Linked DNA regions of Astyanax mexicanus. The protein of the gene in region 1 binds, or shares a complex with, the protein of each later gene. Links are inferred from orthologs where the notes say so. Each region holds a gene or a part of one and is shown on either strand. Other genes may lie near its edges.

Region 1 (8,017 bases):
GTCTATTTAAAATATATTAAATATATGGTATCTGTTTTAAAAATACAACAAAAATGGAGATAACTTTAAATAAAATCGTCAAGTCTTTTTTTGATTACAAATGATAGCAAATTGATTAGACATTCTGGGCGTAGCTATTCCAAGGGAATGTCAAAGAACTATTTGGGGGCATAAGGTACAGGAGATCTTTATATTCATTTTTTTTTTTTTTTAGATTGTTTGCCGTTGTTCCACACCTCTGGATACTGCAGTAAAAGAAAAAATCTCCATGTTTTGTCATGTGGAGCCAGAGCAGGTATCTGTAATGGATGTAACTGAACTGGACCTAATACTTCAAAAAAGACAGTAATGGTTCCATATTGCCGTGAAAGGTTTTAAATATATTGTACTTTTATTTTCTTTACAGGTTATCTGCATCCATGATGTATCTTCAATCTACAGAGTTCCTTTGCTTCTGGAGGATCAGGGCATGGTGGACTACTTTTGTCGAAGACTAGACCTACCCATTGAGATGAGGCCTCGAAGAATGCTCACCAAGTGGAAAGAAATGTCAGATAGGTAAAGGTCTTTAGCATCTTATTTAAAGCAGTGCTAAGTCTGCACTATGTTAATGTAGTGAGCTTTAGTGTGGCTATATTTTTTGACAGGTCAGACCGGCTCTTGGAACACACCTCAATTGCATTGGTGGGAAAGTACACCAAGTTTTCCGACTCCTATGCTTCAGTCATTAAAGCACTTGAGCATTCTGCCCTTGCAATCAACCACAAGCTAGAGGTCAAAGTAAGAAGTGTTATTGGGGAATGACTTCCTCTGTTAATGGTGTTCATAATGTTAAAATTGATTAAGATTTTCTTTGCAATGTAAATGTTTTTGGACCATAGTGCCTTTTGTGTTCTTTCTTTCACTAAATACACTTTCGAGTTTTAGGAGTATTTAGAAATTGTTCTCTGTTTCAGTACATTGACTCTGCTGACCTAGAGCAAGCTACACAGCAGGAAGAGCCAGTGAAGTACCATGAAGCCTGGCAAAAACTCTGCAGTGCTGAGTGAGTGCAACGGCTTGTCATATTAGTAGTCAGCACTTCTCAGGCATTACAAAGTACAAGGATTTTCACAACACCAGCATTTTGATACTAATACCAAGTGTAGCACCACAACACTCAATACTAATCAATAATGTTGCCAAATGAAAACCTATCTTCGGAACATAAAAGCATTTTCTTGGACATTGATTAAGCCAATTCTTTGACTAGAATGCAGTGTCAAATGGTGAATATCAATTGGAATTTTCATTAGTCTAGCCTTGGCTTTGGTCTGGGTTGGGAAAATGACTACAAATATTTTAATTGTACTAAACACAAAAAAACTGAAATTTCATATGTTTATTTAATATTTTTGTTTCTATCCTTCTTGAAAAGTGTTTAGATTTTTGTATTAATTGTATAGCTTTATTAAAAGCTAAATTTAAAGCATTTCTATTAATATTAATCTGTTTGAATGTGACACTTTTTTCTTGTGGTCATTTATTTATGTTTTAGTGGTGTTTTGGTACCTGGAGGATTTGGGGTACGGGGCACAGAGGGGAAAATCCAGGCTATTAGTTGGGCAAGGAAGCAGAAAAAGCCCTTTTTAGGTAAGAAGGCACGTTATATGACTTTATTTGTAAGGCCCTTACAGCAAATCTAAGAATAACCAAAAGATAAATCACAGTTCTAAAGATTGTCCTGTATTTCTGTAGTTTACATAGTGTTTGGCTTGTCTCAGTTAATATATGCTGCCTTATTCACGCTAAATACAAACGTTGTGGTTTGCAGGTGTTTGTCTGGGCATGCAGCTCGCTGTGTGTGAATTTGCACGTAACGTGCTTGGCTGGCAAGGTAAGCAGACAAAGAAACCACATGAGTATGTTAAATAAAAGTAAGATGTAGAGCTTATATTGATTTTGTTTGACTGGACAGATGCCAACTCAACTGAATTTGATCCTGAAACAAAGCATCCTGTAGTATGTATCATGTTTTTACACTAATACATACAATAAATGATACCACTATTGGCATGATCTAGACTATAGTGGTCTCTTGTTCATTATTGCAGGTGATTGACATGCCAGAACATAACCCAGGACAAATGGGTGGCACTATGAGATTAGGGAAGAGGAGAACCATCTTTAAAAGTAACACCAGCATTCTGAGTAAGTTCTTTAGAGTCCTTAAAGCAGAAGCATTATGTATCATATTTATAATTTATGTTATATATTTATTTGTTGGATGCTAAAATGAAGAATCTTAATATTATTTAAGTGGATTTTTCTGGTTTTATATTTTAGGAAAATTGTATGGAGATGCTGAACATGTTGATGAAAGGCACAGACATCGCTTTGAGGTTATAAATAATAAACAGATATTTATAAACTCTAACATCTGTTGCATGTAAAAAATAATAAGTAAAAAATTACTAATCATATTACTTTATTTTTTTGCATTACTTTTCCCCAGGTGAATCCAGAACTGACACACTACTTTGAGGAGAAGGGGCTGCATTTTGTGGGCCAGGATGTGGAGGGGCAGCGAATGGAGGTCATTGAACTTGAAGGTTGGTAAAAAAAAAGTTTGGTACTTTATTGCCATCTTTTGTAAAAGAGGCCATCAAGAGTATAATATAAAACTTTTTGTCCTGGCAGATTATGCTTATTTTGTGGGAGTGCAGTACCATCCAGAGTTCACTTCTCGTCCCATTAAGCCTTCACCTCCCTATTTTGGGCTACTTTTGGCAGCTGCAGGAAAACTTCAAAGCTTTATGCTTAAAGGATGCAGACTTTCACCACGGTAATAATTACAGTTTAACTTAAATGACCAGTCATACGTTAGGATAATAAATGCCTCATTCCTGATGATTCTTTTGAATCCTGTCAGTATACATTGTGTTTCCTTTCTTTACTAATAAATGTATAATCTGTATTACAAAGCTCAGAGGAAGGGGTTTCCCGTAGTGGGCAGGACATTGAAGTTTTGTTGATAATATGATGATTTTTTTTGTGTCCGTTTCTTTTCAGAGACACTTACAGTGACCGCAGTGGCAGTAGCTCCCCAGACTCAGAACTCTCCGAGCTTAAGTTCCCAGCAGTTTCATAGAAAGGATGTTTTCACAGATGGGGGAGAAAAATGAGGAGAAAGCACAACATACTGCACATTGTATTCCTTCTTATTGGGGACAAAACATCATGTTAGATGGACAGAATTTTTGTTCTTAGGGGAAACGAAGTACTACAGTGTTGCAGCCTACAGAGAATGTTCTATTGTAACAGAACAGTTACCTTTTAAAAGTCTATAAGAATTTAAATGCCTACACAAAAATGCTAACTGATTTTACATTTTTTGTGGAACTCAAATGTAATATTTATGACTATTTATTTACAAATAAATGTTTTGAGTTATATATGTATACCCATATAAATATGTGTATAAGTGAATGTTTGATTCAGTGGGCAAATGCCATATGCACATACATACATACATACATTTTACTCTTATATCAACAGGTTGGATTTTTACAGTTTATATCTGGGTTGTTTGGTAAGACATACTAAACCTCATCCTGTACATTAAATTGCAGATATTCTTTATTTAGCCCATTTCTTTAATTATGTTTCAATAGCCCACATGATGGACTACATAAGCAGCAAAAGCCCAAGTGTTTGCTCTCTACAATTACCTGCAAAATTGACTCCAACTGCTGCTTGGTGAAAGTGTATCCTTGCTGACTGTAAGCGGGTAGCAACCTAAACCATGAATGATTTAAGATGTAGATGGGTTAGATTTGTAAAGCATTGTAGGATATGAAGACTGGTTAGAACTACAGAATTATGGGCCTACTATAGCTCTACATGAATGTCAATGTAATTGTTTCCTTTGGTGCCACATGTTTGTTTTAATATTACTATTTTGTGTTGTATAATAAAGCTATGGAATACTTGTTGTGTCCTGATTGATTATGTTTAATGTTTAAACTGGTGAGAAAAATGAGCAATCTATATTAAAAGCAAAGTGTGCTGCTTTTTTCAGTCGTAGTAAATAAATTGACATAAACGTCATAAAAAGTTCAGCATTTTTGAGACATCAGACTCAATAAAATGAAGGCAACTGTGCATATGGGGCTAAAAATGTGTGGTGAGTGTTTAAACGTAATACAAAATAAAAGTCTTAAAAATACTGGATTGTTTTTTTTATGTAGGATTAATTAATTGGCCTGACGGTAAAAAATAAAACAGTCATAATTATTACTGCCAATTTGATGGTTAAGGCTTTAAATTGTTCAAATTATTTTTTAGATTTAAGAAAATTGCTCCCTTAATTGAATAAATGGTTCCCTCTATTTCCTCAGCTTAAGTCTGATTTGAAGGGGCTATTAAAGGTATAAAAACATAAAAGACCACTTAAAAATGATGAGTTTCTTTGATTTTACCCAATTGAAAACCTCTGGAATATAATCAAGAGGAAGGTGGATGATCATCACCAAACCAAGCTGAACCGCTTGAATTTTTGCACCAGGAGTTGCATAAAGTTATCCAAAATCAGTGTGTAAAACTGGTGGAGGAGAACATGCCAAAAAAAACTGATTAAAAAACAGGATCATTCCAACAAATATTAATTTCTGTACTCTTAAAACCTTAATAATATGAACTTGCTTTCCTTGCATTATTTGAGGTCTGTAGCTCTGCATCTTTTTTTAATTCGGCCATTTCTCATTTTCTGAAAATAATTGCTCTAAATGACAATACTTTAATTTGGGATTTGGAAGAAATGTTGTTCGTGGTTTATAAAATAAAACAACAATGTTCATTTTATTCTAACAGATACCTATGAATAGCAAAATCAGAGAAACTGATTCAGAAACTGAAGTGGTCTTTTAATGTTTTTCCGGAGCTGTATATTATTTTTCTGTTCACAGACTTTTATGTGCGTAAATGGGCATTTCCGCTGTTTAGGGCTGTGGGATCCGGTCTGCTGTAGCTTTAGCTGCCGCATCAACGGTGGCGAATGGAGGGGCTGTAATTTGCCTGTTTTTCTTAAATTTTACACTTGATTTGGGCTTTTACTCGGATGATGAGGAAATAATACACCCAGGTGCAGTACTGGTCTCTTTCTGTAGTGTATTAGTGTGTCTCTGCCTCGCTGCGGTGGCTGTAGTTAGCTGTTAGCGCTCAGTGGAGCGGAGTGGGAGAAGAAGAGCTGGGTCACAGCTTGTGTTTAGTGGTCAGTTTAAGACTTACGCGGGTTAAAATCACCTCAATTTACACAGAGAAACGTCTAAAAATTATCCTAGACCAGAACAGAAGCGTTGGTGGGTGATTCTCTCACCGCTGCCTGTAGTATTGTAACTAACTTCAGGACTCGGAGATCTGCTTCTGATGTAACTAGCTATATTGGTTAGTTAAATTATATTAGCATTAGCATCTGCTAGCTCAGTTAATTTAACTAACTAACTTCTGAAGATCACTAATGTTATTCAGCTTTAACGTTACCGACTTTAACTAAAAGCACTAATCTCTAACAGATCATCAGTACTTCCAGCTTCATTTTAAAGACGTTGTTTACGTGTTTTATCATGTAACTTATGTGTAGTTCACTATTACTCCTTAGCCAGGTTATGTTATGTAGCCCGTGAGCTAATAGTAGACTTTCAGTGTCTGACATTTGACAAACTGAACTTGGCCACTGATGATGTTCAGCCACTATTTAAACAGAGGAAGAAGTTCTAACTAAAAACTTTAGTCCGCTTAATCTCCAGTAATCATCTGTGTTTATTTTAGGAATTAGCGTTTATTTGTCCAGCAAGTTGTTAAATATTTATTGGTTTTATTGGAGAGTAGCGTTAACTATATATAAGTCCGTATATATAAGTATATATAAGTCCGAACCATCAAATATAATAAAACTAATATAATGCAGTCAAAATGTATCATTTAAAGCTTTTGTTAAGTCGATTCTTATCTATTATATAAAACATGTTTTAAACAACACTTAGCATACATTACTTTTATTGTATTTCATATTTATTGCATTTGCTTACTGAGAAGAGCTTTCAGCTAATTAAAACGTACGGAACACATAATTGTTTAAACCTTTGTATTATAGTGGCCTTTCCACCAGGGACCAGATACATTGTATTTCAGTTTACATTATTGAAGTTTTTATTGATTTACACTGATTTTGCATAGATCTATAAAAAAATACTCAAATCTAATAGGGCTGCAACAATTAGCTCACTGATGCAATGAGTTTTTAAAAAATAACATTGTTGTTTTTTTACTGCCTGTTTTCCCTGAGAGCACTACGGTATGGTAACACTAATGATATATATTTGTATTTTTTTGTTATAGTTGAACAGAGGTGACTGCAGCCTTATAGGAGGCTATTGACTGCTGTCTGTTGCTTGGCATGAACCAGTATCAACAGCAGACCAGCAGATTCAACTTGTACAACGCTGCCAAAGCGGAGGCCTCCTTAGCTTCATCCCTTACCAGCAGCATGGCAAACAGCACTGCTGTACCCGGAAAGGTGTTGGGCACACCTGGGCCTGCTGGCAGACTGAGTCCTGAAGGAACTCAGGTAAGGACCCCTCAAACTCTACTTTTTTCAATAAAGTATGTTGCTTATGTAACTTTGCAGTTATAACTGCTTGTACACATCCCAAAAGCACAAAACTGTTATGTTCATATGCTCCAATAATGGACCCAGATGTTCATTAGAAATGATCACTGTTCAGCTATTTTGTCCTAATATAAAACGTCTGTCTTATGAATAATAATATAATGCAACATATGACTTATGATTTATAACTATAATTCTTTAGCTCTCAAAGTACAATAACATGTATGCTTGAGACAATTATCTGATTGTCACAGGTGCTCAGCAAGAAGAAACTGCAAGACCTTGTGCGGGAAATTGACCCTAATGAACAGCTTGACGAGGATGTTGAGGAGGTACTTGATCTCTGTTGCACAAATTATTTTTATTTAATCAAATTATTTATTTGTGAATATAATCTGCATAAGGAAGATTAGATATAACAATAAAGTAAATTGAAGGACTGAATGAAGTAAAATCGGTAAGCATTTCTTAATTGAAGGTACTTATTTTAAGTTAGCACATCTTCTTTTAATGTATACAGTTTAAATATAAACAATTTTTACAAATGGTAGATGCCTCAAACTGTTTGTTTTATAATTTGTAGAAAAACATGTTTAAAAATTCACATTTAGAAAAGATTTTTTTTAGCAATTTTTCTCTATTAGATATTCTATTAAAATTCAGTTTTCACATTTTATCTTGTAGTATTATTGTTTATTATTATTATTATTATTATTATTATTATTATTATTATTATAGTTGACATTTGAATTGCTACACTTTATTTCCTGTTGGGATTAAATGCTTTCAACTTTGCTGTAGGTATGTGCATGGAACACACAGTCCTGCTGAATCTGTTTTTTTTTTGTCGTTTGTCTCAGATGTTGCTGCAAGTTGCTGATGACTTTATAGAGAGTGTGGTGACTGCTGCCTGCCAGCTTGCCCGACATCGTAAGTCTAACACACTGGAAGTAAAGGATGTGCAATTGCACCTTGGTGAGTGGACTGTTAAACTTTTGTTTATTTCTATATTGTTTTTACTGGTAATTTTACATTTATGTTATCCTCTAAACTGTAATTGAGTCTCAATTTGCATTATTGTTTATACTGTACCTACACTGACATACCATTCAGAAAAGCAAGATTTTCTTATAATAACTCTGTTTCTCAGTGCTGTCCAAACAAAGTTTTACACAATCTATAATATCTACAGTTTACTTCTTTTAGCTCATTAATGTTATTCTGTGTCCTCTTTTCGACTTAAAGTTCACACATTTAAACCCTCGGTTGTAGTTCTTAATTACACTGTGTTTTTGCACAGAGCGCCAGTGGAACATGTGGATCCCTGGCTTTGGCTCAGATGAAATCCGACCATACAAGAAGGCATGT
Region 2 (6,989 bases), on another chromosome or scaffold:
TTGGATTGAGCTTCCCTGTAACTGGGAAATATATTCATGCCTACTGGTTTGGAGCAAAAACAACTGGTTGGTTGGTTGGTTGGCCAGTGTTGAAGGTTCTCCACCCACCAGGGTTCCTCTGTAAGCCCAGTCAGGAGACCATCTGACCTACCAGTCTACCACCTACCATGAGTTACCATCAGAAACTGGAGGTCTTAAAACTGGATATGGATTGAGTTTGTTTACATCCTAACTCTGGAGAATGTTGGGAAATTGGGTGGAGCTTCCCTGTAACTAGGAAATAAATTCATGGATACTGGTTTGGGTTGGCCACTGTTGAAGGTTCTCCACCCACCAGGGTTCCTCCAGAAGCTCAGTGAGGAGAACATATTAAAACACTTGGGTTCTGGTATAATTCCCATTATTCTGGAGACCCCCGGCTCTCTGGAGCTCCTCGCCGGCCTCCATTCTGCTCCTCCCGGCCACCAGCACTTTTGTACGGCCCCCAATCCCAACCCCAGTCCCGGTCCTAGTCCCCACCAATCCCCCACCACCGCGGGATCCCCCTACCCTACCTGAGGAGGCTGGAGAGCGGGTGCGAGGACGAGCCGTGTCCGCCACCACCGCCTCCGCCGAAGCTCCCCGCGTTTCCGGATCCTCCTCCGGCTCCAGCGGCTCCAGCAGACTGCCTCTTCCCGCCCAGGAGCTTCTCCACGGCGGCCAGGTTCCCCGTCCGCGCCGCCTCCAGCAGCTCCTGCTCCTTCCCCATCTCCGCTCAGCGAGAGAGCGCGCACACGCGGCCGAGCGACAGCACTCCTCCGCCGGCCTCTGGATCACAAAACGCCCGCCGTGAGTCTCCGAACCGCGGCTTCTCCGCCTCCCCGCCTCGGTATTCCCGACCCGCACCGGGACAACTTTCCTCCCAGCGGCGCCACCGCGCTCAGCCCACAGCCCGCCCGCATTCCGCACAGGCCCCGCCCACCGTACCCGCCCACTCCACCAACCAGCCTATCACATGTCCACAACTACTCGAGCGAATGAGCAGCCGCTCAATCACAGCGCAGTATGAAAAACACCAAAAACACTCCAACCAATCACAGAGCGGCGGCTGAGCTGGGCGTCAATGTGGTCGACTGGCCAACCGTAGAGCAGAAGCAGAGACGCTTTGACCAATCGTGTGGCAAGCTGGGGAGAGAGTAAGAGCGAAGGTCCAATCATAGGGCGTGGACGGAGAGCTACTACTGGCCAACCGCTGCGAAGAGGGGCGGGGCTTGGCGGAAAACGGGTGGGGATTGAAATTTCGCCACACCAAACTTCCTCTGTCCTTCTTGGACACGTCACTTCCTTTATTATTCGCCCACACATTTATTTATTTATTTTTATTTATTTTTATTTTTTTACTATTTACTTATTTATTTGTTTGCTAATTTTGTTTATTTGTTTGTTCATCTATTTATATATGTGTTTATTATTTATAAGCTTCTATTATCCTTATTTTTATGGATTGATTATTTTTAATTATTTGTTTATTTGTTTATTTGTTTGTTTGTTTGTTTGTTTATTCATTTGTGTACAGCAGCTCTGTGAGAGTGCTTTAATCACACTGATTACCTGATCACCGCTTAGGGAATTGGAATCAATAAATCAAGTTGCTTTTCTCCCCAGTGGGCCAATACTCTGTATTGATCTGTGTGTGTGTGTGTGTGTGTGTGTGTGTGTGTGTGTGTGTGTGTGTGTGTGTGTGTGAGAGAGACCTACACTCAGACACTAGAACAGTTTATAACAGTTACTATATTATTAATAAATCATCAATAATAAAGAGAAGTGCTGTAAGCAGAGCAGAGCTGATCAGACTGATTGATCAGCTGCAGGGTTTATGGGTATATGTAATCAGAGAGCTGTCTGTCTGTCGATTAGACGGGGTGTTTAAAGGTGGCTGATCGATCTGGAGTGTAAAAAGTGTGAAAGCTGAGCTGCATTTTCCCACACTGCCAATAAATATTGATTATCCTGACGGTGTTTAACACATTACAGTATTACCGTTGTTAACAGGGATGCACTGATGTGGGATGTGGATGTGATGTGATCCTCATGTGATGTGGATCTTCCAATGCCGATATACACATATCACTTACAGAGAGACGAGACACTAAAATATAATATTTATATAGCTTTAATTTTAGCTGTCAACCAACTGTATATCAGCAAAACAATGAAAGGTGTCTCCTGAGAGATTTGTTTTATATTTTTTGGTCAGTTATCAGCTAACATCTACATTAACATCCCAAATTAGACTAACTTTAGTAGACAACTGATTGTTTTTTATGGAACACCATCATTCCAGAGAATACAGTTCCACTGCTCAGCAGCTCAATACTGGGGGTTTATTCCCCTCTGCCTTACGCCAGATATTGACTGTAGAAGACTGACTGAATTAGACTGACTGTTTCAGGCTGACTGTAGAAGACTAATTGTTTCAGACACACTGTTTCAGACAGACTGTTTCAGACAGACTGTTCCAGACAGACCGGTCCAGACTGACTGATTCAGACTGACTGTAGAAGACTTACCGTAGAAGACTGTTTCAGGCTGACTGTTTTAGACTGACTGTTTCAGGCTGACTATAGAAGACTTGCTGTAGAAGACAGACTGTAGAAGACTGACTGTTTTAGGCTGACTGTTTCAGAGGGACTGTATAAGACAGACTGTATCAGATTGACTGTTTCAGATGGACTATATCAGACAGTCTGTATCAGACAAACTTTGGATAACTAATTATTTCAGATGGACTGTATCAGAGAATATAGAGGACTGGCTGTTACGAACTGACTCTTTCAGATGCACTATATCAGACCGTCTGTATCAGAGATTATCGAAGACTGACTGTTGCAGACTGACTGTTTCAGGTTGGCTGTTTCAGACAGTCTATATCAGACAGATTTTGGATAATTGTTTCAGATGGTCTATATCAAAGACTATAGAGGACTGGCTGTTTTAGGCTGACTGATTCAGACTGACTGTTTCAGAATGACTGTTTCAGGTTGACTGATTCAGACTGACTGATTCAGACTAGCTGTTTCAGACTGACTGTTTCAGGCTATAGAAGACTGACTGTATTAGATTTTGGACGACAGTCTGTATCAGAGTCTATAGAGGACCGGCTGTTTCAGACTGACTGTTTCAGGCTGACTGAGGCTGATTGGGTATAAATGATTCAGCCCCTCAGCTGTGGGCTGGAATCCCAGGGAGACTCAGGCAGGCCTGGTTCAGCTCTGCTATCAGAGGCTAAATATGGAGAAATATTATAAATTATTCCTCTGCGTGTTTTTAGAGAATCCCTGCTGAGATAGTCCAGCCTTTCCGGAAAATACCTGCTGGAATTACATTTATGTATCATCCCACATGGAAAAGGAATATATGGACATATAGTTATTTGTATTCTATATTTTCTATATATGTTTAGCTAGATATATTCATTATCTACGTATATTTTATCTTTGTAAATGCTGTCTAAAATGTCTAGCATGTATTTATTTAGTTATATTTGCCCATTTGAGCTGGGGAGAAACACAATCTCATTAAGCTACACACTTCATGTTTTGGCCATTTTCATACATTCTGAAGTATATTGATAAATAAAATATTCATCTATATTTTAAATATACATCTATTTTGTGTCTAATATTTTTCACATATTTACATCCAGAAATACATATAATCATTTTACCGTATTAAGAAATTAAATAAAACAATGTGTTACAATTTAAATTTAAAAGAGACTTTTATATTTATATCTGTAAACAAAAATCATAAAAATATTGTCTTATCTTACCTTTACCCTATTATTCAGTAACGTTTATATGAGTTTTTTGCCTTAGTTTTACATTATTTTTGTTTTTTAACTTAGAATTTTGTAGATTGTTTGAGACAAATTAAATTAAATAACCAACTTAAAATGAATAAAATAAAAATAAATAGAACGCTTTTATTTTGGGACTTTTATTATGACACTGTGCCGAAGCGCAGTATCTGGGAGGTGTTGAGTGGGTGGTTTCTCCCGGGCTGCTGGTTTATTGGGGTAATTTCGGGTATTTTTAGCTGTATTTTCTGTCAATTTCACACAGATTATTATTAATATTGTAGTTTTAGAGCCGCTGGATCAGAGAAAAGCCGCTGGAAGTTTCTCCTCAGATTAAACGGTGAGAAAAAGCGCGGGAATGTACCGGTACCGCTAGCCTAATGCTATCAGCTCAGCTAATGAGAGATTCGGAGTTTATTTCGGATTTAATTCATTTGTATATCGGTTTATTTAACGGGGGTTAGTAATAAAACAGGGCGTGTGTTTTGTTATTAGATCGGGTTCGTATTTTAATAAAAAAATAAATTAGGATTTACTAATAACCTTAAGATTGTGAATGTTAGCTGCGGTGCAGGACTTTTAATTTGTATTAGTGCGTTTTGTCTTTATTGTTTTAACAGTGTGTTTGTTTGTCAGCTTGTTTGTTTGCGTATGTTTGATTCTATATTGTGGTGTTGCGTTCTGCACTACAGGACTTTTAATTTGTATTAGTGTATTTTCTTTGTTTGGTGTTGGGTGGTTCTATATTGTGTTATGTTCTGCAGTGCAGGACTTTTAATTTGTATTTGTGTTTTCTTGTTTTATCGCTGTGTTTGTTTGGTGTTATGTTGATTTATGTTGTGTTATTGAGTTCCTTATTGTAGAAGTGTTTATTTGTAACTTGTGTTTTTCTATTGTTTAAACACTGTGGTGTTTTGTTTGTTTAGTTAGTTTTATATATATACAGCTCTTTTAAGAGCACTTAAAAATGATGATTTTCTTAGATTTTTACCAAATTAAAAACCTCTGGAATATAATCAAGAGGAAGATGGATGATCACAAACCATCAAACCACCAAACTGAACTGCTTGAATTTTTGCACCAGGAGTAAAGCAGCATAAAGTTATCCAAAAGCAGTGTGTAAGACTGGTGGAGGAGAACATGATGCCAAGATGCATGAAATTAAAACTGTGATTAAAAACCAGGAATATTCCACCAAATATTGATTATTTCTGAACTCTTAAAACTTTATGAATATGAACTTGTTTTCTTTGCATTATTTGAGGTCTGAAAGTTCTGCATCTTTTTTGATATTTCAGCCATTTCTCATTTTCTGTAAATAAATGCTCTAAATGAGAATATTTTTATTTGGAATTTGGGAGAAATGTTGTCTGTAGTTTATAGAATAAAACAACAATGTTCATTTTACTCAAACATAAACCTATAAATAGCAGAATTAGAGAAAGTGTATATAGTGCAGTAGGGTGGATAAGTGTAGCATAGTGTTATTATAGTGTGTTATAGTTGCTGTATTGTGTATTGTTTATTGTGTGTTGTGTTAATGCTGTATTGTGTTGCCCCCTGCAGGCCGAGAGCAGTATGGCGGATCCGTGCCGTGTGAAGGAGGAACCTGCAGTTGGGGTGGAGATCTCAGATCCTTCACAGCCGGTAAAACAGGAGGATGGAGAAACTTCGTCCACTCATACACAACAGAGCGGCGTAAAGGAGGGGGACAAAACGGTGAGACACACCGACACACAGCATCAGTTACTATAAAAAAAATATATACTGGAGCTGTACAGGACTAGGATAGTAACGTTAGCTGATTTAATTTCGAGTTATTTCACTACATCACTACTTATTCTGCTTAAATCGGACTCTGGTTGCTTTGTACTCTTATATCGCTTTTTCACCAACGTAAAACCTGGCAGCATTTTAGTTCACAAACCTAATTTTGAACTGGTTTGCTGCGTTTCCACCAGCAGAAGTAGGTTACGGAACCAGGAATGTATACGAATGGTTTCACTAAAACTGGTTAAAACACGGGCTGGTTTGCTAAAAGAACAGAATGGATCTGGTTCAACATTTATTTTGGTGGAAAGGTGCTAAAGTGCGGTTCGACCAATCAGAGCAGACTTTGGGCTTGCGTTGTGTGGTGCTCCTAAACTTTGTGCCTGTTTGAAAACAAAGCAAACCAAATGGGAAAACTCTCCAAATAAGCAAATTTATCAACTGATTTAGACCATGATCAGGTTAAATTTTTTGGACTATACTGACAACTTCCTAGAAACTGCTCAGTATCAGGTATAGGGAGACTCGTTTCAAAATAAAAGTCCTCTGCAGAGTTGTGTAAATTGTGAAGCAGTGGTGGTAACAACTACAAAATATATGTAGCAAAATAAATGTACCAATAAAGAGTGGTGGTATGGTTGTGTATGAAAGTGTAAAAATCAGTTTGCTGATTTTTGTGTGTGTTCAGGTTTTGAGTAAGGACGCTGCAGGTGTAGAGGAAGAGGAGGAGCCTCACTCCAGTGGTCAGTATCCCTCACCAGCGAAGAAGCTGAAGGTGGAGCCGGAGAAGAAGAAGGAGAAGAAGCACAAAGTGGATGAAGACGAGATTCAGAAGATGCAGTGAGTTCTGCTGATCCACTTCTATCAACACAAGGCTTTAATTTGTCTTAAATCCACCCAAAGGGTTTAAAACTGCCGCAGGAGAGAGTCCTAAACATGCAAATAAAAAACAGAAACATTAAACTAAAATACACAAAAATGGACAAATCACTCTCCATCTCCACTCTCCAGCCCCCAAAACTCAACTCATAACTCAAAATAAAAATAACTATAATTAGTTGCATCAACAATGCAAAATAGAGTAAATAATAAATAATAGTTAAACGTAGTTGTGTAATTAAAAAAACATAAACAAGTTGTTTTAAGATAAGAAAATAAACATTTCCTGAATCAATAAAACAATATAATTCAGAAGTTAAATAAAATGAGAGATAAATATCTCCAAAATAGCAAATATACAGAAGAGAGAAAACACCTTCTTACCTTTCAATGGAAGTCAGTTTGGAGACTTTCTATTGGTCCATTCATAAAGAAATTCTGGTACAGTGTAAAGGGTAAGTTTGTGTGTTAAAATAATACAGTAAACTAAAAACTGACATCA

The links. Proteins that work in one complex are often made in the same cells at the same time.
Region 2: taf12 (region 1) and taf11 share a complex: the UniProt entries of both Homo sapiens proteins name them as parts of the TFIID basal transcription factor complex. The link is inferred for Astyanax mexicanus from reciprocal best matches to the Homo sapiens genes TAF12 and TAF11.

Annotation. Positions count from the first base shown.
Region 1 is NC_064413.1:33,269,473-33,277,489, reverse strand, and holds the start of taf12 (transcription initiation factor TFIID subunit 12), read left to right. Parts: upstream 1-4,967; 5' UTR 4,968-5,122; intron 5,123-6,378; 5' UTR 6,379-6,436; coding exon 6,437-6,607; intron 6,608-6,903; coding exon 6,904-6,981; intron 6,982-7,509; coding exon 7,510-7,624; intron 7,625-7,949; coding exon 7,950-8,017. Other genes in the region: ctps1b (CTP synthase 1b), read left to right, coding at 215-295, 407-558, 648-780, 957-1,045, 1,538-1,632, 1,814-1,876, 1,958-2,001, 2,094-2,190 and 4 more. UniProt on the Homo sapiens protein: The TFIID basal transcription factor complex plays a major role in the initiation of RNA polymerase II (Pol II)-dependent transcription.
Region 2 is NC_064420.1:51,847,905-51,854,893, forward strand, and holds the start of taf11 (transcription initiation factor TFIID subunit 11), read left to right. Parts: upstream 1-3,980; 5' UTR 3,981-4,178; intron 4,179-5,404; 5' UTR 5,405-5,416; coding exon 5,417-5,557; intron 5,558-6,296; coding exon 6,297-6,448; intron 6,449-6,989. UniProt on the Homo sapiens protein: The TFIID basal transcription factor complex plays a major role in the initiation of RNA polymerase II (Pol II)-dependent transcription.